3 separate regions of the Mus musculus genome follow, and regions 2 and 3 are each reported to be linked to region 1. The links are microRNA targets in miRTarBase. Many come from high-throughput screens and were not tested one by one. Region 1 holds a microRNA gene; each other region holds the end of a gene's coding sequence. Distances are from middle to middle.

Region 1 (7,000 bases):
TGCATCGATGCGTCGGACACTGAGGCCTCTGAGTTCCAATCACATCATCTTTGAGCATGCTGTAGCAGTAAGTGACTCCTGGGCAGCTGGGAAGCTGGAGAGGCTATGGAGTCCATTCCACCTACTCTGCCAAGATACTTATGGCAGAATTTTTTTCCTTTCCTCTGTTTTTGTTATTAATTTTCCACTCTTTTACCTATGCTCCATACCTCTGTGGTAAGAGGCCTGGTATCTTACCTTCTATTTCTTTTTTTTTTTTTTTTTTTTTTAACTTTCCTTAACCTTCTCTAAGGGTCATGCCCCATGTTGGGCCCTGGTTATAGGGGGTTTCTGCAAATGCCAAGACCAACAGGGTATCAGACTGTGTAAGGCAAAGAGGAAGTCCAATTTAACACAGCCTTTGTTGGTTCAAACTTCAAAAGTCTAACCTTTAGCAGTTTATTGTAAGTATATATAAGTACAGTACAATTTGGAGAAAAAGCTTGCTGGTGTCACAAAGCCCCCTATGCACGAGGAGGCAAAATGACATCAAAACTCTTTTCAGAGTACATGGCACTTGAGATAAGCTACATATATTATCCTAACGGCCTAGGGGAGGATCTGAAATGGTTTTGGTCATACAGATAGTGTAGTGGTCATTTGGGCTCCTTTGGGTCCAATTTATGGGAGCTTGGTATGCCCTGGCTCTACAGACAGCATAAATCACCAAGTTATTAACCTCCTCCATCCCAGTCTTCTTGGTGGAAAAACAGGCTAAAACATCTCTCTCTTTGGAAAGACAATCCAGGTGTTTAACATTCCTGGTTTCCTTAGTGCTTATCTTTGAGGGCAGGGTCCTTTGTGTTCCTAGATTTGCATGCGTGTGTGCATGCGTTGGAGGTGGAGAGGAAGGGAAGGAGAAATGGAGAAAGAGGGAGGAAGGGAGGGAGGGAGAGAGGGAAGACTGAAGAGAGGAGAGACAGCAACCACTGGACACCATGGTGTGCATGTGCAGGTCAGGACAACCACCAGCATTAGCTTTGATCTTCACTTTCCATCCACCTAGATCTGTCCTAGACTAGCTGCTCGAAGCTTCTGGGCCAGCTAGTTTCTGTTTCATCTCCAAAGACTCATGCCCAGCCACCAATTGTATCTCATGTAAGTAGTTTATGTCATACAATTGAAAAGGAAAAATAGGTCTGTGGTTCTGCTATCCTACCTCTAGATCTCTAATCCACCATGAAGGAATTTCTACTTATAAGGGGAGAATTTTTATATGAAGCAAAGTGATCCACCCATACCTACTCCTTATACTTTCTGCCCTGAAATTATTTGAGAGAATCTTTTACTAATCCTTTTTGGGGGTTGGGATTCTTCAGTTTTGAGCAACTGAATATCCACACATCCCATTTTAAAACCAGGATAACAGCAGAATGTTCACACCAGGTACCGAAGCTTGAGAGATCTTTGTAAGAATTTCAAGCCCCCATAACATTTAGAATTATGTGTATGTGATTTGTTTTTTCCATAGTAGACAGTAGACAGTCAGTGTTGCCATACTCCCATAGGAGACCATGGCCTATGAAGGTTAAGAACTGCTGTCTTACAGATCTGGTTCTGCACATCTCTAATCCCAGCATTCCAGAGGTGGAGACAGGAAATCTATGCAAGTTCAAGACTTGCTGGTCCTACGTAGTAAGTTCCAGGCCAGTCAGGATTGCATAGTAAGACCTTGTCTCAAAATAAAACAAAACAAAACACAAAAGCAAAAAGAACAAAAAACAAAAACAAAAAAAGAAACTGTACAGAACTAGATCTTTACAAAACAAATATAGATCACTTATCAGCATTTTAGCTTTGTGTTTGTGGAGGACTTGAGTCCAAAACTGACTAACTGGCACAGGGATAAGACCGACTTTCTGGTCTCCTGGGGTGAACCTGACACAAGACTTCTCTGAGAGTAAATGGCTTATCAAAAAGAATAAACCTGTGAAAGTAAGACTCCAAAATACTGCTTAAAGTTACTCTCATGGTGGTCTTTGGTTGGACAGATGGTGAGTGTGGCTGGTTCTTTGTCTAGAGTCAGAAAAAGAACCAGAGAGTTTCTTTGCTCCTTCATTGGAAAACACAAGATGTTTATATTACAATTTTTAACGATAGCAAAATTCATGAATAAAGTAGCAACAAAATAATTTTATGGTTGGTGGTCACCACAGCAGGAGGAACTGTGTTAGTTGGTCTCAGCTTTAGGAAGATTGAGAACAGCTGTTGATACACATATACCTGCACTGTAGTCTTCCACAGGACTCTCTCTACAGCCGCTTTCTCTTTCCTTTTTATCCACCTCCATCTTCCCAGGCCTGCTTCCACAATGTGAATTATATAACTAACTAACAATGGCTAGGCCAGTGGGTTAGTGTGAGGTGGGGCAGGCAAGGTGATTTTATTAAAGCTAGCAGATTTTGACTTAAGAGAGTTGTTATTTGGTCCTTCCTTGGATTCTGGTTTGTTTGTTTGTTTGTTTGTTTGTTTTTGCAAGTTCTTTAATCACCTGACTTTGTCCTTCCTAATCCATACTCAGATGGGATGTTGTGTGTAAGCCACCACCCTGTCTGATAAGGATATGGACCGCATGCTGCACATGATTGACTTATCCTATGACCGTAGCTCTGTCTGACATCTACAACAACTTATAAGAGGAGTGTACCTTTTTGTTATGTTTAAATGCTTCTTGTTTACCATCTATGTATGTTGCTTTTACATTTTGTAGTTTAAAAATATTCGGAAGTCTTTTAATCCCCTAGAATTTCTATTCAAATTTTGAGAGTTCAGTAAAGTATAGGAGTGGATTTTTCTTCATGTTTACCTTTCTAAGTTCTAGGACCTTGCTTGCCATCTGTAAAGCGCTGCTTTTTATTTAATTTTTTGCTTTTTATTTAATTTTGATTTTCTCACCCTGGTTTTCTGCCAGTTCTTTTATCATCAGATCTTCTGTACTTTATGAGGTTTAAAGTACACAGGGATTTTACAGTTTTACATCTCTTCAGTAATTTGAAATTGCTCCCATTTTTAATAAGATGGCAGTACGTGAGAGTTTGACAGGTAAAAATATCAACAGTAGGAAACAAAATACTCTAAGTCGATTAAGATGTAAAAATTGAATTAAGTGGTTTACAATGGGTTTTTAAATAAACAATTTTACAGTAGTTTGAGTTAGAGAAAATTTTTTTAGAATCCATCTTGTTTTTAGCTGGGAAGGTAATAGAGCTATCTAAGCTAATTTTTATTGTCTGTATTCCATTTTAAAACTTCTTTCTGAGTCACCGTGAACATAAGATGATTACTCAAAAGGACTGAGAGAATTCCAAAGTTCAGAACGAAGTTTATAAAACAGGAAACATGGATATGTCAAAGGGTACCTGTGACTTGACTAAATATTGGAAACAGGTGGAAGCAGGCCATTGACTAGAGATTATTTACAGAAAGGTTCAGTTAAAACAATTGTCTTCATGTACATAGTCCTAAAGCCCTTTGAGGATTGTAATGTATTCTCTAATTTCAGGAGAGCATGAAATACCATTTCAAAGGTGCTTGTTTTATCTTTTATTTTCTAAGCCAAAAGTTAATTTTTGTTTTATTTATTTGAAATGGTAAGAATCAAACCACAGTCTTAATGCAAGATAGCCAAGTCATCTCTTTGTAGATAATTCAGCTATATCTCTTCTCAGTAGTTTTCATTTAATTAAGTTTGATAGATCATTTACTAGTAAAAACCAACCTAGGAAATTTCAGCAGCAGCAGGGAGACGGCCTAACACAGCTACCAGCAGCCTAAGAGACTCTTAGAGACCTCCTCTAAGGTAGAGCCAGATCCTTGCCTGTGCTGCAGAAAAGAGTTTCAAGAAGCCCCAGAGTGAAACAAAGTTAATTATTTTGTTAATTATTTGGCAGACTCATGGGAAACGGATAGTACACAATACCAAGATATAGGCATGGGCTTCTGGAGAAAGCATTGCACTTAAGGATCTTTACCATGGTAATATGTGTAATCCTGTGGCTTCTAAATTACCTACCTTCCTTCCTTTTCTTTCTTTCACTCATTCCTTGGCAGTTTCATACATGTGTAAGATGCATTCTGGTTACCCCTACTCCTCTCAGCACCTCAGCATATCTGTCCTGATCCCACAGTCATGGTGTTCGGTCTTAGTTTGTGACCAGTTTAGTTTAACCAGGACCATCAGTGTGACTATTGGATTGGGACTATCCACTGCGGTGAGTGTGGTGCGGTCACTGGTTAGGTATACTGCTGAAGGTAATGACTGTGTTTCCCAGAATCTTTCAGTAGGAAACAGTTTAGCAGAGAAGATTAGACCTACCCCCTCACTCATCCACGTCTGGCTGTTAATGAGCTCATTTTTGTGCAGGCTGAGCGAAACCATTTCCAGTTGTTTGAAGGGTATGCCTAAGTTGGCTGGATACTGCCCATTTGGGGGCTTTTGGAAGGCCTTCTCTCTATTTTCCACACTTACATTCTTTATGCTATATCCTCTTCTGCATTGTTCCTGAGCCTTGGAAGAAATGGCGTAATGCCTTGTTTAGGACCAAGCACTCAACCGTCACTTATTCTCAGGATCCTATATAGCTATACATTTGTAATTGTTGTAGAAACTATTTAATCCGGATCCAGGGTTTCTACCCTGCCTTAGATCATTTAGTTCCCAGATAAAAATCATACATAACCTTTATATTTACAGTTAGCCTTAAACAGTACAAGAGCTGGGCAGATATCTACCCTCTATGTTGTTAGAATCTACTTTACTATCAGTAACTCTGAGTTATTACTACTTGCTATGTTTCATCTGGGCTGTTCTTAACTCCAGTTGGCCAGCCTTCAGAGCCATGTTCTCTTGACTCCTAACCCATGGTGGTTTCTCCTTTATCCTCCTGTGCCTCTCCTCTTCCTTCTCCTCCCTCCCGTCATCCTTCTCCTCCAACCGCACGCCTGGGAAACCTAAACCCCATCTATGTCTCTTCTGCCCAGCTATTGGCTATTGGCATCTTTATTTACCAAGCAGAAATAACTTATGAGCAAGGTCTGTATGCTGACTGAGTTATCTCTGGGACACCCAGGTCCTGGGGGGCCGCACTTACCATTACAATAGATAACAAAAGACCAAACCTCAACATGTTATCTACCACAAGTGGTAATTGTTTCCATATACTTGGGAGATGGTTCCATGTTATGACAGTTTAGCACTCTGGCCTCCCCAGCTGTGAGTTTATGAGTACTTGTATCGTACCAGGTATGAATTCCCATTATAATCAGAGAATATAATCAGAGAGTAGTTGTTACCCATGACAGTCATGCTGCTCTTGAACAAATAAACATGTTTTGTCCTGGCAGGTAAATATCATAGTTTACACCAACAACGGGTAAGGTTGTTGGTGTGTTTTCTTCCTCAGCAGCCTTTGCCCAGCGTATTCAGCACAGTGAAAGCAAGCTGGCATGGTGGAAGCTCGGTTCCAGTTCATGCCACCAAGATAGATGGTGTCTTCAGCAATAGAGCCGTACCATCTAGTTCTGAAGGGCAACCACAAAGAAATGGCAAGAATTTTTATTGTTTAGGAGTTTTCTATGGTCTCTCTGTCCAGTTAATCATAAGGGAGGTGGCCCATTGTCTTAGTCAGTGTTCTATTGCTGTGAAGAGACACCACAATCAAGGCAACTCTTATAAGCAAACATTTAATTGGGGCTGCCTTACAGTTTCAGAGATTCCAGTCCATTATCATCCTGGTGGGAAGCATGGCAGCATCCAGGCAGACATGGTGCTGGAGAAGGAGCTTAGAATTCTTTGGGCTTTTGAAACCTCAAAGCCCAACCCCAATGTCACATTTCTCCAATAAGGCCACATCTACTCCAGTAAGGCCATACCTAATATTTCCCAACCAGTGTCATTCTCTGATAACTAGGCATTCAAGTATGTGAGCCTGTGGGGGCACATTCTCATCCAAACCACCACACCTACACCTTGTATTAAGTTACATTTACTAAAAATGTAATTTTCAACAGGGTTTAAAAATTAAAGCTTAAAATTTAAGTACAAGTAATGAATTGGCATATATACTTTGCTTAAAGAATTTCCTTTTGTGAATGAAACTAAGGTTTTGTGAAGTTTATTGTTTTAAGAATGAGAGGTGCTAACTAGCAAAAATCAAGGTTAAAAACAGTTTGGCCCAAAATAAGCACAGTTCATTTTTTGATTTTAAGATCCTTGTTTAAAATATGTTTAGGAAAATATGCATTAGCTCTGTGTGTTTTGACTATCACTTGATGTTCCTTTATTGATTCCATCAGCAGGAAAAACAAAATAGATCCCAGGGCAGGCAGCTTCTCATGACCTCTGAATATTTATTTTCATCCTGGCTCACTATCCGTATACTCATTATTGTGCTTTTTACAAAAGAGAGAACTGAAGTTCAGAATAATTCACCTAGGGAAAAGAATCCAGATGTAAACTTGATGGGTTGTCAAGACTTGAAAGACCTGGTTCTTTAGTATCCTCAAATGATATTAAAGGATCCCTCTGTCTCTGCGAACACTATGGGGTATACTCTGAGCTTATCAACACGTGGGCACAAGAACTACACATTGCTGTGACAAGCATCACTCTTGGCTTTTTACCTACACTTCCTTTGTGATCCTCAAGCAACTGTTCTTCTCTGTTATCCCCATACATGGTAGGCATAGAGTTGGTGATGGTTCGATAGCCACCTTTATCTCCTTAGTTTGTAATTCAGAAGTTATTTCTTGATCAGCCTGAACCTATACTCTTAGCCACTATGTGTATTATAGAACATTTGTTTGTTTTATTTGCACATTAATTATTACTGAAAAAATGGTATACTACAAGATTATTGTTATGTTCTGAAATGAAATTTCTGGTGTCTTAAAGGGTTTTAGTTTGGTGGGGAATGAACTTTTCTGAAATAGGGCATAGTAACCTCTAATCTGCACAATTACT
Region 2 (7,132 bases), not on the chromosome of region 1:
ACGCTAGCTTGTGTCAAGTTGACCTAAAACTAGCCAGCATACACACCATATAGAGTACATTCCAAAGACACTATATTCCACACACACCTACCACACACATATCGTACACAGTACATTTCTCCATACATACCACATACACAACCAAAAAAGGAAAAAAACCAAACACTTAAGAGTCTGTGAGGCCTACTGGATAGAGGCACCTGACAGCAAGCATGACTCCTACCTGAGTTTAATGTACAATATCCACAAGGTAGGGAGGAACCAGCTCCTGAAGGTTGTCTGCTGACCTCAAGTGTGCACATGCACACACACACACACACACACACACACACACACGCACACACACACATATACTTGTTGTGCAAACATGATGATCCGAGTTCTAACCCTCAGCACCTATGTAGAAAGGTAGGTATAGCCACATATGTGCTCGCAATACCAGCATAATGGGGTTAGGTTCAGTTGTGGGGACAGAAAAATCATTGGGACTTGTTGGCTGCCAGCCTAGCTTCAGGTTCAACAAGAGGCTCTGTCTCAAGGGAATAACTTGGAGAGTGATGGAGCAGAAACCTACTGTCCCCCTCTGTCTCCAGACATATCACACACACACACACACACACACGCACACACAAATTTAAAGAACAGAATAATGAGGCTAGATGGGACCAGCCTCTGAAGGCCAGTGTAGCTCTGTGGCCTGCTCCCACACTGGATCCACCAGGCCGAGGCCTTTCCTGTACTCTTGGGAAGTACTTGGTGACCCCAGTGAAGGTTACCAAACACTCAGCCTCCAGGCAGGGGATCTGGAAGCATGGTCACAGGCAGTGGGACCAGGAGCATCCATGTCCTTCCCTAGGGACACCCTTTTTAGGGTGGCTGCTAGAGCTGATGCAACTGATGGGCAGAGAGGTAGGGTAGCAGAGAGGTAGAGATACTAGTGAGCTGTGGACTAGTGTGGGCAGCCCATTTCCAGGGGATACAGCCACACTCACAGAAGGCAAAGAACCTTCTAAGAGGAGGGGCTGAGGGTGAGGCTCAATGGGTAGTTTGCTTGCCTAACACATACAAAGCCTGAGAGTCTGTCTCCAATACCACGTAAACCAGGTGTGGTACTACATGTGTGTAAACCCAGCATTTGGGAGGTAGAGGCAGGAGGATCAGAAGTTCATGATCAGCTTCAGCTACACAGGGAATTGGAGGCTAGCCTGGGTTCTGTGAATCGTGTGACCCCCATTCCCTCCTGCAGGGCTCCAGAGCCTGGCTGGCCTTCCCTCACCGTGTCCGTGGCTTCTCTTCCAGGTGACGATGCCCGGTGAGCCTGTGGATGTGGCGTGTGGAGTGGATCACATGGTGACTCTAGCCAAGTCATTCATCTGAAAGGCCCTCTGGGCCCAGCCTGGGAGCCACACCACAGCAGCAGCTTGGCAGAGGCAGGGGGTGGCCACCAGCAGAGCTTCTGAGGGTACTGGGAGAGGGCCAGGGCCTCTGGGGTGCAGGATGCTTGCTGTGTGTCCTCAGTGGGGACATTCTACTAGAGGTGTGTGGACAAAGCCCTTCCCCCGCTGAGGTTCCTGCTGCTGGCCTCAGCTCAGGATGGCTACAGTTGGCTTGCCGTGTTTCTGAGGAGCACCAGGGCGTGAAGACCTTGGGTGGCCAGGCAGATTCCTTTTCCAGGTAACACATGGTAGCATCTGGGGATGTGTCTTGTCTGAGACACTATTCTTAGAGAAAGTTCACTGCTCATGACACATTTGATATTAAGAGTTTAGAGACATGACAAGGCACTCAGAAGAACTTGTAGTCCCCTGTCACAGGAGGATAAAGTTGGCCTCAGCTCAGCAAGAAGCCAGCTGACTGCCTGCAGCTAGGGCCTCTGGTCAGCTGTCATCCCAGGAGTCCCGCAGAAGGACAGTCCAGGAGCCCAGGATGCCTTGGCTTGAGACTCTTGATGGAGCTGCCAGTGGGAGCCAGCCTCCCGCTCAGGCCTACAGTATCCCAGCCTTGGAACTTCCTCACTGCCTGGCTTTGAACAGCCCAGAAGCCCCTGAAGAAAGACTCTGCGGGCCAAGTGCTTGTGGGCTGAGGGCCGTGGAATCTTGGCTGAAGGGCTGGCCTTGGAGTAGGAGGCCTCAGAAACTGGGAAATACTTGTTTTTAGGGAAGCTTGCCCTTTCCTTTCAGAACAGGGTTGGAAAAGGTCTTTTGGAATAAAGCCTATTTTCTGCCTTTTTACAGAATGGAGGTCTTGTAAAAGTTTGACTTGATCATTTCTTGACCATAAAAGTAGCCAATGGAACACACTTTAGAAGGCAGTCCCACTCAGGATGTGTGTGTGTGCGTGTGTGTGTGTGTGTGTGCGCGCCACACTCCTGTGGAGGACAGACGACAGGTAAAGTGTCACTGTTTCTCAGGTGCTATCCATCTTATTATTGAGATGGGCTGTCACTTTGTAAATCACGCTGGCCTTGAACTCACAGAGGTCTGCCTTCCTCAGTCTCCAGAATTCTGGAACTAAACCTGTGTGCTTGTTACACCCAGGTCCACCTTATGATTGGGCCAGTATCTCTCCCAACCTGGAACTTCCCAGGGATAGGCTGGCCATCCAGAGTCCCAGGGACCCTCTGTTTCCATTTCCCCTGTGCCAGGGTTACAGGGCCCTGCTTCCTATTTTTACATGGGCTCTGGGGATTGGACTGAGGCCATCGGCTTGTCTGTCAGGCAAGCACTTTACTGAGTCATCTTGCTAGCCCCTGGGAATTGTTTTCTGAACAGATCCTTTGGCTGGGAAAATAGCCGGTACCTGAGTCTCTAATTATGGTCTCCTAGGCTGCCTGCTACACCCTGCTCCTGTTACTTGTTCACTCTAAGGTACTTGTGGGCTCCTTAAGTGCAGGCGTGGGGCACAGTGAGTCATGCGGGCAGAGGAATCTCGTTTTGTGCAGCTTATCCTCGGGCAGGGACACGGACAAGAAACAAAATGCAGAGGACGGCTGCTTGTGTGGGCTGTGGAGGAAAGCGAAGTCTTGCCCCAAGTACCTGACAGGAACAACTTAAAGGCAGAAGGATTCACCTTGGCTCTCAGTGTCCGAGGGTTCCAGTCCTGCCATGGTAGCGTTCGAGATGGTGGGAGTTTATTGTAGGGCCTTCCCAGCCGGGCACATCAGGAAGCATACAGGAGTGTATTATGGGATGTGAGCACACAGGAGTGTATTATGGGATGTGAGCACACTGGAGTGTATTAGCAGGGGCTGTACTACCACCTTTAAAGGACTAACTCCGCCCATCTACTTCTGTTGTTCAGGCCCCACTTCTTTAAAAAATTCCAGTTTCCACCACAGTGCTACCTGATGTGGACCATACATTCAATACATGAGCCTGGGGGAGGGGCATTTCAGATTCAAACCCTAAAATGGAGAAAGGACATGGGATGTGTTGAAAGGTTGCGGGTTAAAGTCGAGGGGTCAACAAGCAGGCTGTCATGGGAACCAGTTGGCTGGTGTTGGAAGGAATGGCCGTTTGAGCAGCTACAGGCCCCTCACCCAGGCAGATGCCCCTCTGTAAGGGCTAGTCTTAGGCTGACAATAGGAACATTTTCTGTGAACTTGAAATAGAAGAAGACTTAAGGAGCTGGAGAGATGGATGACTTAGTGGTTAAGAAGTTACTGCTCTTCCAGAGGACCTGAGTTCACTTCCCACCTCAGGGACTTCACAGATGTGTGTAACTCTAGCTCCAGGGGATCGGACCCCTCTGTTGGCTTCATCGCCATACATCTGTCACCACAAACACCCAACTAAAAATGTTCTTAATTTTAAAAGTCCTTAGGAAAACAAAGGGGCCAGGTATGTAGCTCTGGTAAAGTCCTTGATTAGAATCCACCAAGCCCTGGGGTCTGATTTGCACCCCAGCACCCCATAAACAGCATGGGTGCATTTGGGTGACTCAGGAAGTGGTAGACATGGAGACTGGGTGGGGGGGGGGTCAGAAGCTCAAGGTCACCCGTGGCTAGACCTTGAGTTTTAGGCCAGCCAGGGGTACATGAGACCCTTTCTCAATGAACTAAAGAGCAAAGCAAAGCCCCTTGACTCTAGTCACCTGTTTGTACACAGGGATGTCCTTATGCTTGGGGTTTCCTTGTTTTTAAAGTTTATTTTATATATTTGAGTACACTGTAGCTGTCTTCAGACACACCAGAAGAGGGCACCGGATCCCATTACAGATGGTTGTGAGCCATCATGTGGTTGCTGGGAATTGAACTCAGGACCTCTGGAAAAGCAGTCGGTGCTTTTAACCACTAAGCCATCTCTCCAGCACCCTCCCTCCCTCCCTTGAGCTTTCCTTTAAGTCTGTTTTACCTGTTGGTCAGCCTGGCCATGTAGCTCATCTGTACCTCACCAGGGTTTCTGTTCAGCTGCCATCTATACGTGGGTGTCTTTGTCTCTTTGGCCCTTAACCCCCCAACCCCCAGCATTTGACACTGGAGACGCTGCTAAGCCATTATCTCAGCAGCCATTATCTTGGCTGCTCATTCTGTTCCAGGGAAAGCTTTGCTCTCATAAGCACGTGACTCATTCCCCGGATGAAGCTTGCCACCTGCCTCCTCCCAGGTGTCCTCTTTTCGTTCTCTCTCTTAACAGGTTATTTTTATGCGTGTACGTGTTCTGCATGCACATATGTCTCTGCACCATCTGTGTGTGATGGCCACTGAGGCCAGAAGTGTAAGATCCTCTGGCGCCAGAGTTATAGCATGCTGTGAGCCATCATGGAGTACTAGGAAGCAAACCTCAAACCTGTCTCAACAAGAGCAAGAACAGCGAGGGCTCTGGAAACCTTCTCTCCAGCCCCCTCTTACATTTTTTTTTTTTTTTTTTTTTGAGACAGGGTTTCTCTGTATAGTCCTGGCTGTCCTGGAACTCACTTTGTAGACCAGGCTGGCCTTGAACTCAGAAATCCACCTGTCTCTGCCTCCCAAGTGCTGGGATTAAAGGTGTATGCTACCACCGCCTGGCCACATTTTTTTGAAATTTATTTTTGAAAGTTTTTACGAGTATTTTGTGGGCGTGTTAAGTATATACATCACATGTGTGTGTTACCCGCAGACGCCAGAAGAGGGCATCATATCTCCTGGAACTGGAGTTAAAGATGGCTGAAGGCCACCATGTGGGTACTGGGGGCTGACTTGATTGAGACGTTTAGATTTGCAAACACATTCCTCGCTGTGTCTACAACCTTGTGTTCAGAAACATTTAGGTCATAAGAGCTCTGTCCTAATCATCAGATTGACGGCTTGATGGATCCACCATTTGATGGCATTGGTGAATGGTGAGACGTGGCAGGTCACCAGTGATGCGATATTTTGCCCTGGTCTTTTCCCATGTTCTCACCTCTGCTTCCTAGACGCCACAAACAACCCCTACTCAACAAATTGTTCTTGTAACTAACCTTTTTAGCCTCATGCCCATGATCATGACGGGGAAACTCTAAGCTGGGACAAATCCTTCTTCCCTGTAGCTTTGATTCGAAGGATATGGTGTTTTGCCACAAGTATGTCCGTGTACCACATGGGTACCTGGTATCCCCCGAGGCCAGAAGAGGTCTTCAGACTCCCTGGGACTGTAAGCCACCACGTAGGTGCTAGGAATCGAACCTTTGGAGCTCCCGGTTAAGAGTCAGTGCTCTTGACCACTGAGTCACTTCGCCCGGTTTCATTATGTAGCTCAGGCTAGCCTGGAGCCCTCTATCCTCCTGCATGCTGGGATACAGATATGTGTCACTTTAAGCCACTATTTGGGACCATTTACTCCACAGCATCAGGGAGCTGATATAACCCTTCTCAGCCTAGGCAGTCTCTGAGACTCAAGGTGTTTTACCTGAGGGCTATCCTGCCTCCTCTAAGCCATGACCTACGTTCTCCCAAACAACGGAGGCGTGATCCTGGACAAGTCAACATAGAATCAGACAGCTATCAGGCAACATCATTTTTTCCCCTTCATTTAATGAACACTTTACAAAGTACAAAATATACTGTCTTTTTCAGGGGGAACGTTAGGTACTTTTTTTTTTTTTTTTCTCTTCATCATACAGTACACAACTCTTAAGGGTTTTGTTTCTTTGACAAGGAGAAAACAAAAGCATGAGGGGCCCTGGAGGTGGACAGAGGAGGACACCCGTCCCCCACCCCCTTCACCCAAGCTGCAGGACTGATGAAGTACCACTGTTGCTGGTGACCTGGGCACGACATGCCAGGAGAGGGTCAGCTGGGGCTGTGGGCAGGGCAGGGTCCCTTAAAAACGCTGCCGGGCACCCATACCCACTCCCCTGCCTCGGGATAACGGAAATGATTTTGGCATACAGGAGGAGGGCCGGGAGGACTACTGCTGTACTTCCGTCTCCCCTATTGTTTGGAGGCTGACCCTGCTCTAACTCTTCCTGTGATACGGGTAAACTGAGGCAGGAGAAAGAAAAAACGTGCTAGGCTCAGCCCATGGAAACCTGAATTTTGCCCAGTCTAGAGCTTTGTGGACCCTTTCCCAAGGTGAGTTCCTGGGAAGCAAGGGGCACCTCTTGTCCCCAACCTCTCTCCGTGCAAATACTGTCTTGAGAACTCAATTGTTTGAAGAGTCCCACAGGTGGGCCTACGCCAGTTCAGGCTGCCTGCATGGATTCCCTGGGCTGCTGAGGGGCAGAGTCTTTCTTGGGGATGTAGCGGATGGAGAAAGGAGCCAATCCCATCACAGCAACCCCACATTCCACCCTGGAGCCAGGGCCAGCATTCCTATCTGTTTAACTGTGAGGCAATGGGTTAGGCTAAGGGGCCAAACACTGCATGAAACAGCTCACAGCTCTGAGACGGGCTCTGCATACGTGGGCACACACACTCATGCCTAATACATGTACACACACACACGCACACACACACACACACGTAAATAAACAGCATCCTGAAACATGGGACTGGACCACCCTGCACTACTGACTCTCCCAGGTTCCCGTCTCTTCTACCAAGAGCCACAAATCACCACCACCAAACCGATGCCCGCAAGAGCCATGGCCTCAGGCCTCAAGCCTCTCTTGGTGTCTTTAGCAACAGGCCAGCACCTGCCTTCCCCAGTTGAGTCATCTTCAGAGGAGAGGC
Region 3 (7,132 bases), 94 Mb from region 1:
AACAAGACAGTCAGGCAGGCAGGCAGGCCAGCCATGTGCTTAAAATTTGGGGATCAGGAAAAGTCTTCCCCCAACAGCCTAGGATCATTTCCATGGATGGTGGGTATGGGGGGCAGGGGTGTGGGAGAGGTCAACCAATAGGACAAGACCAGTCTTCTTCATTTCCAGAGCCAAAGTCTCAGAATGCTGTCACTTCAGGGTTATATGGGACCTTAAAAACAGTCAGTGCTCTTAACTGCTGAGCCATCTCTCTAGCTGCCCCCCAACCTCTTTTACAGTAAGCAAAGTGACACAGTCTTGCCATAGAGCCTCTAGGTGGCTGGACCAAGACTGATATCCCCAGCTTTTGTCCTTGGCCCTCCCTGGGAGAAGCCAGACCAGTGGCCTGGGCTCTGAGCTGCTTCTGTTCCTCATGGATGGGACAATATTCTGAACTTTGGATGCCAAGTCCGGATTCTTCAAGGGGACTTGAGAGCCTGCCCATCCATGTTTGTCATGGACTAGCCAGAAGCTATTTTCTGACACCAGTTGTAAGGGGAAAAAATAGGGTTGTTTTGTTGTTGTTGAGAGAAAAGGATTATTGGAAGAAGACTCCAGACTTCTCCAAACGTCTATATTTAGATGGCATTGCTCCCTGAGGACTGACTGAGACTTTAAATTTTTCTCTTAGTCCAATTCAGTACTTGGGCTGTGAGCAGTAGAATCCTCCATTTTGACATTTGTTCTTTCTGGTTACTTTAGGATCAGTCCCCGACTAATAAAACAAGATGGTAGATGCCCTCTTCCCTGGACCACACCTCATCTGGATCCCTCAATGCTCTGCATCCATCTGAGCAGGGCCAGCAGCTTTCCCACCTGTCCTTGGAACTGGGAGGGACCAGAGGCCACCAATTTGAAACAGTGGACTGAGTCGGGACCTTGGGATAGGCCTGAAATATGTGACTGGTGCTCATAGGGCCACCTGTCCCTTGCCCATCCCAACCTCCTGGTATCCAAGAAACTGCAGCTACAGGGAGTGAACTGTTGACTCCCATCTCCTGCCTTAACACATCCCTCAGGTCACAGTGTCTGTGTTCCCATGTGGTTCTCCAGGTTGCTGTCTCGCTGTGAATGTCCAGTGTGTGACGGACCTTCTTGGCCATGTTGGTGTCCCGTCAGCATGTCTCACAATGGACATCAGGTGAATCTTTGTGAGTCTTTGGAGACAAGCCACACAACAGAAGTTGTCCCTTACCCTACTTAGGGCCTGCTGCACCTTCTAGGAGGTCACTGGCTAGTTTGGGCAGGCTGTTTCTCATGACCTGAGGGTCTCAGGTCCCAGCACCTTTGAATCTGGATGGAGTCTACTATACCTTCAGTGGGTCGTGTCCCCTCACCAGGGCAGGACCAGTCGGCCTGTTCTGTCCTCCCCACTGCCCATCACCATTGAAGATGGCAGTTACACTGGTCCCATCTGAGGAAGCTCTTCTTGTCCAGCCCTGCCACACAGAGAACCCACATCAGAGTTGAAGAGCCCGTGGGCCACAGTGGTGCTAGGGTTTTGCACCGTTTGTATCTCAGTTAATCCCCTGTTTGAATCTCCCCCAGTCTCCTTTTGCCTTCTGTGCTAGCTTCCTGGGGTAGCTCCTGGGACAGGTGCAGATGTGGATATTGCTGAATTACCTGGATCTCACAGGTTCTGGAAGCACCTGCTTGGGCTACCAGGACATACGTGGGGTCTGGGAGTTCCCTTAGGACATGTGGGTGGAATTCAGGGCTGCATTCTCAGGGTGAGTTGAACCTTTCCTGTGTCCGACTGGTGGGATGTGCGGTCCAGGACTGTAGATCGCTTATGGAAAGACGTCTTAAGTTTCTACCTCAGTTTGGGCAGCAGCCGTCCTTGGGACACATGGACATGATCTGCTGCTTTCAACATTAGAGGAGAGTCCTTGGCCTTAGGACATGCACCGGAGGCACCCGATGGCCACCCAGGTCAGAGAGGGCCATTTTCAGGCCTGCAAGCTGCTGACACCAGTGGCTGAGATGGTGTCATGGTACCAGACCCTGGACTCGAGATCTCCAGAACATCATTCTTTGTTCTACTTTTGGGTACCAGACAGAGCCTCTTCTATACCCTTTCCCCCAAGTGTGCTAACTTGGCCCTCAGCCCAGTCCTGCTTAGTGCCAAGGTAGAGGTAAAGATGAGTGGATTCCCAGGATAGCCAGGCACTCCATGCCTAGTTCTCATGCCATCCCCAGCAACCTGTGCCTTTTATCATTGGATGAAAGGTTCCCACAGAGTAGGACCATACCTCCAAATGATACTCCTCTTGCCCTCTGCTGACTGAGGATGCTTGGTCCTTCCACAAGGGAACCGGTCTCCATGCACCTCACACTGTTCTTGATCTAGAGCCCCAAGATCTGCCGCAGTAAGCGAGGGACTAGTTTGCTGTCTTAAATGAGTCCTTTAGGATGCAGAAAGCCCCACATCCCTAGGTGTGTAGCCTGTGGTGGGTGTGGCTGTGTTTATAGCCCAAGGCCTGCCTGCACCTGAAGCTGAGGAGTGATTGGAGGCTCCTGGAGGATGTAGGCTATTTGGGAGTGTCATGGTTACCCTTCATGGCAACCCTGCGACTTTTAGTTCCAGTTCCAGTGGAGAAGTACATTTTTCACTTGGGAGGCAGAAGCAGGCAGATTTCTGAGTTCGAGGCCAGCCTGGTCTACAAAGTGATTTCCATGACAGCCAGGGCTATACAGAGAAACCCTGTCTCAAAAAAACAAAACAAACAACAACAAAAAAAAGTACTTTTTTTTTTTTTTTTTTTTTAGGAGGGTTGGGGGCCTCCAAATGAACAGCTCTGTATCATACACAAGCCTTGAGTGGGAGACATCAAGTAGGTCCAGGCTTGATCCAAGCTCATCATTTGCAGGCCACTATCCCTTAATAAATGTCACACGGACCCTATTAAATCCTATAGTGGATGTAAAGGGAGGCTCAACCTTGTAACTGCTCAGAATTAAACGACTGCCCTTTCTTTGTGAGGGGTTACTGCCTCTGTTCCTGTGTGTTTCTAAGTGATTGTGGAATGTCAGTGTCAGCTGCCTTGCCTGCCTCTCTCTCCCCATTCCCCCATCTCAGCTACAGTAGCTGTTGGATTACAACTAACTAACTTCTCTCCGGTTAGAGACTTTAAAGGAGAAAACCAGGCCGCTGAAAGATATTTGAATTCTCAGCTGGATACAGTGTTGCAAGCCTTTAAGCACTTTGGAAGACAGAGGCAGGCAGATCTTTTGTGAGTTCCAGGACAGCCAGGACTACATAGAAGAAACAAACAAACAAACATTGAATTCTTAACCAGCCAGGCGGAGAGACAAAACGGTTCCCACGTGAGATGTAGGAGGGGTACGGTGGGAAAGGGGACACCCTCAGATAACTACCCAGCTATGCCTGGCATGGTTGGGAGGCAGGGCACAGACCGTTTCTTCTTTGTTAAAATGCTTTGTTCACAGGCATGCTGGGCCAGAGATGATCACAAACAGCTGCCCCAAGCCTGGGGGCCCTGTCATGGCCACACCCAGCTTGCTCTTGTGGCCCATTGTACTTGTTCAGCAGCAGCACTTCGGCTTCTTGCAGAAGAAAGCAAGACACAGAAAGGTTGGCTGGCTTACCCAGCTGTCACCGCACAGGCACCAACCAACATTCTCACCAAGACCAGCACCCCCTCCTGCTCTGCAGAGGGCACGCCAAGGTTGTGCTCAGGGGGCTGCTAAGCAGACTTCCTGCCTGCTGTCTCAGGGCTGGGTCCTCCAGGAAGCTACAGCCCCGTTTACAGCAGCAGCATGAATTATTTAGCATCTGCACCAGCCAGAGAGCTCTGACCTCATCCTCCTTGGGCCCTCTGGGGCTCTGACCTCATCCTAGTTGAGGAAAGGTATCTGTTAATAGCCACGAGTGGGGGTGGTGGGTCCCATTGGGGTGTTAATAATGGGGTGGGGGTGACTCTTTGAGACCAGCACTCTCAAAGAGACTCAATTAGCCTTGTAGCAGGAAGTGACAGGAAGTGAGAGGAGAGTTCTATAGCATGTGTAGAGATCAAAGGTTGATTACTAGCTGTGGCCTTCCACAGTCCTTTTCACCTTTCCCTAGTCTCTGCTCATCTGTAAAATAGGAGTGACAACCTTTGGATATACTGAAGAGCACTCACACAAAAGTCACATTCAAGCATAGCACTCAAGTGTGTCCTCCCTAGACTATTGGGCCTCTAGACTGGATCATTTGCTGTCTGACCTTGGACTTAACTCTGTTTGTCCCAGGCACTGGATTCCCAAGGTGGGTGCAATAGCTGGGTTGGGGCTTGGAGGTATATGTTGGCATATCTTGGCAGTTCTCTGATGTGTAGGGGGAAACATATTGGTGGGTGGCCTACTTGCACAGGAAATCCAAATAGCCAGGCTGGAGGGCTGGGACCAGACAACTGTCCCCCAAGTACCCATAGGTGTATCAAGAGGAGTGACTGTTGTTCCTCCTCTTTACAAGGAGAGACTGGAGCTCTGAAGAAGTTGTGGAGGCTTCAAATGACCATTTCAGAATGGTAGTAACTCTGGGCCACAGAGCATCCTCATGGTGTGGCCTGACTGTCCTGCTCCATCTGGGTTGGAGTTGGGAAGATACAGCAGTCTCTGCCCGAGGTCTGCAGTAGAACTAGCCAGATGAAAGGTCGCTTCAGGGTTTTGCCTTCCACAGAGGAGCTGAGGGGGTTAGGAGGCTCATCCTAGCCAGCTGTCTGCCTGCAGGTTCCCCCAAGCCAGGGGGAGGAGGAGACGCTCCCTGAAGTGTCCATAAAGAGACAGAAGTTCACATCACCCTCCCAGGGCACTTTGAGGGTGCAAGGGGTGGGGACCTGGGAAGGTTTCACAGAGTCCCAATCCAGAGGTCCCAACCCTGCCAGGACTCCAGGGTTCTGGGCGCAGGAGATCTTGTGCCTCCCTTTCCCACCACAAACACCCCACTCTCTCCTAGGCTCCTGGAGTGTATGTTTTGGGTTGAGGGGAGGGGGCCCTGAATATCTGGAGCTCGGCTGTCACTCTCCTTGTAGGGCCTGATTTCTATTCTCACCTAAGCCCCACCCGGACACCCTGCAGTTGGATCCCCCTGAGTGCCAGCCAGCCATCACCAACTGCCCCTAGCTGTCTCTGAGCCTACCCAGGTCTGGGTGAGGATGGGTAGGGGGATGGGTAGGAGTGTTGGGGTTATTGGGGGCAGCCCACGGTGCCCCAACCCTGCTCTGCTAGCCTCACCTATAGGGATCTGGTGCAGAAGTCTCACCCTATCCACTCCACCAGACCAGGATCATGTCTGACCCAGTCTAGCTCAAGAAGCAAGACCCTATCTGCAAAGAGGGCAGATGCCTGGACCAGCCAGCCTGGGGAGGGAGCCCCTCCACTGTCTTGGTCGGGCTTCAGGGGACAGTCACTACTGACATTAGGGAAAGAAGATATTCTTTTGTTGGGAACAGTGTGTGGTAGATGCTAAGTGGGACCCTCTATCGGCTAGATACCAGGATCTCCAGGTCCCAGGTTGTGACAATCAAAAATGCCTGGGGATGTGACAAATGTTGGTTAGAATTCATTATCCAACCCATGGGTTGGTTCCCTAGGGAATTACAGGGGCCTCAGCCAACCTTACCCGGACCCTGGGAATCCACATAGTCCCAGATTTTGTTTGCTTTCTGGGCTGCTTCTCTGGGGAGGAGCACAGGCAACAAGTGACGGCCAGCTCACTACTTACTGCCTGGTGAGCTGAGCTGTCTTGGGACGAGAATGCCAGCCAGACCAGTCTGTTTGCTGTACACAAACAGCAGGGGATCTGGGCCACCAGAGACCCACAGTCAGGGCCCAAGGTCAAGGGAGAGTCTGGGTAGCAGGTGCCCAGCTGCAGGTCACAGCAGGGGGCAGGCTACACTTGACTGAGCACAGCCCTCTGTCTTGTGACTCTCAGAGGGATAAATGGACCCAACACACACACACACACACACACACACACACACACACACACACACCCCCGTAGCCCGGGCAGATTCCCTAACCAGCCCCTGCACCAGATGCCTAGAGGGAATGCTCGGCGAGCAGGGATGGGGACACGGGGGCAGGATGCTATAGGTCCGGAACTCTACCCCACATGCAAAGAACTTTTCAGGAGAAACCAATCACAGACTCAAAGCAGATGGTTTTAGTAGCCCGCTTATACCAACACCCCCCATATCCAGATGCCCTTATTTGCATAGAGGGACTCTGATAAGAAAGTTGGGGAAATAAAGTTCAGGTTCGTGTGTGTGTGTGTGTGTGTGTGTGTGTGTGTTGCCAGGCAGAGGAGGCAGAGACTTTTACTGCCTTGCTGTTTTTTCTACCCGGTCTTTCTTTCCACCCCTTTCTTTCTCTATTTTCACTGTGGAAAATAAACCATGAATTTGATTTCCTAATTTACTGCAGTGCCGGGGGTGGGGTGGGCTTGGAGGGGGTGTAGAAGGCAAGGTCTTGAACCTGTGAGGCAAGGGCACAACCCCCCACCCCAGCTCTAAATCACCAGTTTTAAAAAGAGGTTTTATTATTTTGGACTCCCTGGAACTGGAGTTACAGGTGGTTGTAAACCACCTACTGTGGGTGCGGGGAACTGAGCTCAGGTCAGGGGGAAGGGCAGCTTGGGTGCTTGGGGCTGGGGAAATGAATAGCTCACTTGCAGCTCCTGCAGAGGACACGGTGGGATGGGCCACTGTCTCAGAGAAGAGGAGGCGGGCTGAGGAAGGCTGACTCAACAGTTAAGATTGCTCTTGGAGGTGTCTGGTTCTCAGGTCCCACAGCAGGTCTCGAGACCACCTGTAACTCCGGCTCCATGTGATCTGATGCCGGATCACCTAGTCTTTGAAGGTTCTGGTATACACACGCATGCACACACACACACACACACACACACACACACACACACACACACACACTCACACACACACCTTAAAAAAAAAAACCTCAATAACAAAGTTACAGGAAGCCTTTACAAAGGGCTCATCTTTGAGAGTAGGGTGCAGGGTTCATTTGTAAAAAAGGGCCAGACAACCTAAGGCTGTATGCTGCCTCTTTCAGACACATCCCATGTAGGAAC

Evidence for each region. The annotated mature microRNA mmu-miR-1933-5p reads AGUCAUGGUGUUCGGUCUUAGUUU and lies in region 1 at 4,165-4,188, shown strand. An mRNA with a match to its seed (bases 2 to 7 or 8) in the 3' UTR can be bound and repressed. Matches are read on the target gene's strand: a 7mer-m8 pairs with bases 2 to 8, a 7mer-A1 pairs with bases 2 to 7 and ends in A, and an 8mer does both.
Region 2: the mRNA of Rcc1l is a reported target of mmu-miR-1933-5p. Seed matches in the 3' UTR shown: 7mer-A1 at 1,742-1,748 and 7mer-A1 at 1,773-1,779.
Region 3: miRTarBase lists Gprc5c as a target of mmu-miR-1933-5p. Seed matches in the 3' UTR shown: 8mer at 2,714-2,721.

Annotation. Positions count from the first base shown.
Region 1 is chr11:21,341,828-21,348,827 of GRCm38, reverse strand. Mir1933 (microRNA 1933) reads left to right here and starts at 4,153; the gene lies at 4,153-4,240. The region is part of intron 3 of Ugp2 (UDP-glucose pyrophosphorylase 2); the gene reads left to right.
Region 2 is chr5:134,143,174-134,150,305 of GRCm38, reverse strand. Rcc1l (reculator of chromosome condensation 1 like) reads left to right here. Exons shown (of 11, transcript NM_033572.2): 11 at 1,300-2,248. The coding sequence ends at 1,377. Among named protein-coding and RNA genes, the nearest start is that of Rcc1l, 30 kb to the left of the region's middle.
Region 3 is chr11:114,869,580-114,876,711 of GRCm38, forward strand. It overlaps Gprc5c (G protein-coupled receptor, family C, group 5, member C), which reads left to right. Exons shown (of 5, transcript NM_001110337.1): 5 at 742-3,038. The coding sequence ends at 774. Among named protein-coding and RNA genes, the nearest start is that of Cd300a, 17 kb to the right of the region's middle.